2 linked regions of the Kluyveromyces lactis genome follow. The protein of the gene in region 2 purifies or fractionates together with the protein of the main gene of each other region. This does not show direct contact. Links are inferred from orthologs where the notes say so. Each region holds a gene or a part of one and is shown on either strand. Other genes may lie near its edges.

The links. The genes of interacting proteins can lie anywhere in the genome.
Region 1: the proteins of GIS4 (region 2) and SNF1 purify together in Saccharomyces cerevisiae (affinity purification with mass spectrometry; 3 studies listed by BioGRID, with this or other methods). This does not show direct contact. The link is inferred for Kluyveromyces lactis from reciprocal best matches to the Saccharomyces cerevisiae genes GIS4 and SNF1.

What each region holds. Positions count from the first base shown.
Region 1 is NC_006037.1:338,213-341,425, forward strand, and holds SNF1 (AMP-activated serine/threonine-protein kinase catalytic subunit SNF1), read right to left. Parts: upstream 2,404-3,213; coding exon 595-2,403; downstream 1-594. UniProt on the Saccharomyces cerevisiae protein: Serine/threonine protein kinase essential for release from glucose repression.
Region 2 is NC_006037.1:156,606-159,928, forward strand, and holds GIS4 (Gis4p), read right to left. Parts: upstream 2,198-3,323; coding exon 611-2,197; downstream 1-610. Other genes in the region: KLLA0_A01760g (uncharacterized protein), read left to right, coding at 1-5; ARO80 (Aro80p), read right to left, coding at 3,084-3,323.

The DNA.
Region 1 (3,213 bases), about 180 kb from region 2:
CATCCAACCTCTCAAAAGGTTGCAACTTAACTCAGCCCTAATACTCAACTCATACTCAGTTGTCCGTCGGACTTTTTCATGGTAACTGATAGTCTCATGAGCCACTCGTCATGCGCAGCTTCTGCCTATTCCAATTTCACTAAATATTGTCACGTGACCCTCTTTGATCCATCTAGGCCTTCCCTTCTGGATACCACAGGATCCATATGCCCAGTCACTGACGTCTTGGAACTCTGCCGTGTGCTGGCTAGCTCACATGACCCTTCGTCTGGCCTGTCTTCAGTCTATCTTACGAAAACTACAACAAAGTAGCATCGGTGGTTTAGTGGTAAAATCCAACGTTGCCATCGTTGGGCCCCGGGTTCGATTCCCGGCCGATGCATTCTTTTTTCATGTGTCAAAAACATGTATGTTGTTTTCCTCTTCTTCCCGGCGAGTGTTGTGAGCTAAGAGTAATTTCTCATATAATATAGTGATTGTCATTATTTAATGATATGTATATAAGGCTTAAACTTTAAGCAAATATTCAAACTTATATACACTCTTCGTTGGATATTATCCGTTAGTATTTTTTTAATTTCATGAACCTTAAAATCAACTTCCTTGGCTATTCACTGCAAGTTCCATAATCAGCCTGGTTGCTAAATGTAGAAAGGGGTATGCACTGAACGTACTCATTTCATCGTCGTTCCGACTTGAATACACTACACCGTTACTGGACTCCCAGCCATCAAATTTGAAATCCACTAAGTAGTTATTTGTCTCAATTTGGAACAATTGGATTACCATCTTCATTAAATCTGGAATCTGCTTGTTCTTCATTTCGTCATCAGGCATATCGATATTATATCTCCAACGGACTCTAATAGTCCATAGGTCCTCTTCTGATGGTTTCGCCCATTCGGCTCCCAAGTTTTTCAATGCAATGTATATTTCTCCCATAACGTCTAATGGATAGGATCTTGATCGTATACCGAAATGCCACCTTGTTTTTGATTTTTTCACGCTTAATGGTGAAATCTTAGCAGCAGCCTGGGACCCTTGTGCTACCATGTTGGCTCTATGGATCTGTGGTAACGAGCTAGGTAAAATTGCAATCGTGCTGTCTCCATCCTGAGAACCATTTCCATAATGATATTGATATGTACGTTGCTGTGTTCTCTTTGAATGGCGGTGTGAGTGTCGATTTTTTGAGCCCGGGGGGGCATGCAAGGATTGTTCGAAAGTGGGTGGAGATTGCGATAAGAAAGTATCCAAGTCATTAGATTGTTGCTTGTTCACCTTGATGTCGTTGATTAAATTTCTGTTCTCTTTAATTAACTGATAGGCATCCCTGATTTCATTTAAAGATGGATGATCTTCATCGGACTCTAAAGCCTCATATATCTCATCTACGTCATAACCCATAGTGTTTGATAGCGTTTGAACTAACGAATCATCGATCAGTTCGAGTGGCACGGATGGGCCGCCATCTTCTGTTTTGCTTTCAGAGTTTTCTTGATGGGTGCTTTCAGCAGGAACTAGGTAGTCGGGTAAATCAACTTTGAACCATTCATCCTGCATGATTTCATGCACGGTAATTCTATTAACTGGATTGACGATGAGCATCTTTTTGATTAAGCTCGCAGCACCTTGGGAAAGGAAGTTAGGTATGGTGTAAACACCATTGCTAATGTTCTTAAACAACACTGGGATACTTTCGTCATCGAATGGTAACCTACGACACAACATGACGTATAAGATAACCCCTGAAGACCAAACGTCAACCTCTGGACCTGCATATAGTTTACCGCTGATGACTTCTGGGGCCGCATAATTTGGAGAACCACATGAAGTCTTCAAAAAGTTACCATCTGTCATTATATTAGATAAACCAAAATCAGCAATCTTAACGTTCAAATGTTCGTCTAATAGTAAATTCTCTGGTTTCAAATCTCTATGCACAATTTTATGACGGTGACAATAATCTACTGCGCTAATAATCTGTTGGAAAAATCTTCTTGCTTCTTGTTCAGGCATCTTGTCTCTTTGGACAATATAATCAAATAATTCATTACCAGCATACTCAATCACCATGATAATTTCGTCCTTCGATTTGATCACGTCATACAATTTGATAATGTGTGGATGTCTCAACAAACGTAAGTACGAAATCTCTCTCTCGATTCTACCTTGCATATCACTCTTGGCTAGAACCTTCTTATTGATGATTTTTAATGCCACTTTTTGTCCCGTAGAGATATGGTACGCCAGTTTCACTTTACCAAATGATCCTTCACCCAAGGTCTTGATGATTTGATACTTACCGATATGTTGGCCTTGTGCGTGGTTAGTCAGCTGGCGTTGGTGATGGCCTTGACCTGAGCCACCATGCGGCTGTTGTTGATTTGGGTCGTGCGACATATCTTCTCTGATGAGTATGTACTCGTAAATGCTTCACTAAGAGTTTGCGTTCAACAGAGGGATATCTTGTTTACTCTGAGAATAGTTGCTTCTAATTGAGAAGTTGACTAACTTGTTAGAAAACTTGCAATTCTTATACTAGTGTGACGTTTCTGGAGTCTCACAAAACCCAATTCTATCCGCCCTACAATTACGCATTGATCCTTCTTTTATTGTTGATGTTCCGTATATGACAAGTTTTCAATTTTATCATCAAAATGTAAACGGCGTAGAAATCGTTGATGATGACTGATACCTTATGTAGGAGACCGTACTGGGACGAGTCCGGCGAATTGACCATTTTCAGTCACCAATCCTGTCACGTTTTACGAGAGGATTCAGACAATTCACGAATCCATTCTTCACTACGTCAATATGCTATGACACTACATTAAAGTACATCACCACTCGATAAGTGGCTATTATATACGAACCAAGATGTATATATTACATCTTTAATCTTCCCCAATTACTCTTTTATAATTAGGAATAACGTTAATATCGTATTTTCCTCATTATAAACTGGTGATTCCAAAATTCTGCTATCTATGTATTAGTTTCAATCACTACTGTCACTGGAGTAAATATCGATGACTGCGGCAGGATCGTAGAATGATTGTTGGCTAAAATTTGAATGCTCCATATCGTCCTCGTCATCCGTCCAAGAGTCCGTTGCAATATGTTCAGTCACAGGCATCTTTGAGCCCAAATTGAAACACATCAAGCGATTCCTTACTATCATTGTGCTTTTTAAATTGGAACTAGCAAGAG
Region 2 (3,323 bases):
AATGAATAATCATTTCACTTGGTTTCGCACCACAATACTGTTACGTTCAAATTAACGGTTTCAATTCTTTTAACGAGTTTCCGATGTCTTTCTTTTTGAAGTAGAGGACATATCTTTTTCGAATGGATAATTACGAACTCCTCATTCCTGAAGAAACTTAAATTACATGGATCACGAATACAAAGACAAAATAACCAAATTTTCAGTCTTAAAAGACTTAATAAAACTTTCAGAATTATCCCTCTTATATTGAGCATGTTCGAACTTTTTTCTTTTGTCTCCCTTTTATCATCGATCAATAAAACGCTTATTCTACTTTGGTTTTTTCCTTTTACTATAATGTTTTTCAACCAATTTTCACTTTCAAATTTTTTTACACTACCTTTTCTTGTATAAATCCATCCTCCCACGTAATCTAATTAATCAACTTATAATAACACACCGTCCATCTGAATTGTTGCGAAATTCAATAAATTATCTTTATCAGATTAATTATAGTCTGATTGGTCTGTTATTTATCAAGAGTAAAGGCAGCATTGTAATTAAGTAGCCCAATAAACAAGACTCAATAATCATAATGTCATTTATTTTCTAATGAACACAGAACTACTTACATTATACTACAATTGTGGGAAGTGGACTTTTTCCGCTGTCTTGCTCTAACTTTGGCAAGATTTTTCTTGATCTTTATTGCCTCCTCATCTATATTACTATTCAGTGTCTGCAATAACACAGGCATTGGCTGAGACTTGATTCTGTTCATGAAATTCCCTCTGGAGTCCCTTGATACCGTGTTTTGCACAGTTTCCATACTTTTTTTGGTATTGGACCTATTTAAGGCCCACGCACCAATACTTTCCACCGTTCTGATGGACCTATGACCTGCTGTAGCCGCAGTTGCTGGCGAGTACAGTCCGATGACTGGTTCATCCGCAATGGAGTCATTTGAATTTCCTGTGTAACATTCAATCGAGTTATCAGAACTTAATTCACTCATTGAATCATCAACTTCATGTGGACTATACATATTTCCATTAGTCAGAGTATTATTGACTGTAATCAGATGTTGTAAAGATAGCTCCGTGTTATCGTCGACAGAATCCTTAACGTGGATCATAGAGTAAAACAGAATTTTGGGTAAAAATTTACTGAAGTCCAAAATATCGTATAACGACAACATTTGTAAATTGCCTAAATTAAAATCCGTATCGTATAAGAGCCAATCATCATTTATGTCAGCATTACTTCTATCGTTTTCGCTTTGTCTTATGCCAGTAAAGATTTGTTCTGTTTCCTTGTTGGTTATAAGAATTGACTGTAACACTAACCTAAATGTGCCGAAATTGTCAGATATAGAAATGCTAGGTGGAATCGAGATATCTTTGCTTTTCATATCGTCAGCGGATTCGACGTCATGATGATGATCATCATCATCTTCATCTTCTTCATCTTCGTCTATTGCCCTTGTCACAGTTTGGACCAAAGCTTCTCCACGGTAAGATTCCAGATCATCGCCATGTGTCACTATTGATACCTGAGACTCTGCAGGTGAGCCAATATTATTTCCTGGACTGATCCTTACAATCCGTTGAGTGGTCTTAGTGATTGGTTTTACCATGACCTCGGGATGCTTGAAATTGAGAACAATGGAATGAGATTCAGTGTCAAACGTATCACCCGTCAATATACTATAGCTGTCGCTAGAATCACTATCTCGACGGGGACTATCATCCTCCATTTCCTGCCCGCAGTTTTCCGCCGAATCGGTAGCATCCTTGCTGCTGTTCCCGCTAATGCTTACATCTTTCTTCATCTCTAAGAACCATTCATCATTGAAATTGGTCAATTTGTCCTGTATTAGATAATGGTTTTCATGTTTGTAAACAGTCCCACGAGTTAATTTATCAATGACAATATTAGTGTGGTCATCTTTCAAATGGAAATATTCGCTTAAAAACTCTTCTAATACTTTAATATCCTGGTGAATCTCATCCGGAATTGAAACCAAGAGTAATTTTTTGTTTAATGGTCCGGTCGCTTGAAACTGATCTCTGAGAAACCGTTTCAAAAGTCCATGCTTCAACTCGTTACCAGTCAATTCTTCAAACTCTCCGTTTCGTAAATTGCTCAAATACCATGACCATAACCCATTGTAATCATTTTCATAGTAATCTTTCACCTGAACACTGGTAGGCATCCTCCTTTCTTCTATTTCTGCTGTAAGCGGTATATATTTATTGATCTCACTTTTCACAAATTCCTTTAACAACACAAGTGCCAAAATAAAGAGGGGGTATGGTATTATGATGTGTTATAATTAAGAATATAGTCTTCTCAAAAATAATGCAGGGTGTGTGTGGATGTTGTCAGTACATGAATCCAAAAAAAAAGCCTGTATTGTAGCCCTAGATAATGCTTCGCTCCAGAGTATACTTTGCTCTTGCGCCTAGGATTGATGCAAACCAAATATCAAATAAATTAATTAAATAGATTGGTAACGCAGGGACCTCACTTGTAGTCAAAACCTCTGTGTTATTTCTCTCACGTTTCCTCTTTTCCGTCAGACGTGTTTTCAGCTAGCTGTAACCCCAAAGAATATCCCAGATAGCACCCGCTGAAACTTAACTGCAGGATATATATATGTATTCACACACGCAGAATAGCGATTAGAACCCCAGGTTAAACAAAAGGATCGTCTTCCTGATGGAATCATATGGTTTCGTGTTTTTATCCAAAAGTGCTGTTTTTTTTATAGTACTAACCATTTTGTTTCCGAGCCGTTTTTTTTTTTTTGGACAAACGTGTGGAAATCCTCGAATAGACCTCATCACATAGGTACCGTAGTATTGGGAAAAGAGCGAGATTATAAGCCGATTGATTTATAAGTGGAGGTTAAGGAAAATGTGTCACGAGAGCATGGGACAGAAAGAATCACACTATTAATCGGGGAGCAGCAGTAGTTCTTTGTGTTTTTTTTTCTTGCAATGAAGTTAGCGATTGTTTGTAATGGGTCTTTTGTGTATTGAGATATGGAAATGCGATAGAAGACTGTTTAGGTTTACGTACCGGTACTTAACTATTTTCTATTTTGGTGGGGTATAGAAATCATTAAACCAATTTTCGTAGGAAGAGTCGTCTACTTTGTTCACGAATTGTTTCTCTACCATTTCCGTCCATGGTCCAACGAAATCTAAACCAATTTCATTATTATCGTTAAACCAATCGACAAGTTGAGGAGGAAGATACCCTCCAGAACTGTTTGGCCCAGTATTTATGGCAGAAGCGGGGTTAGTATCTGGCGCTGGTTCTGGTACTGGCGCTGG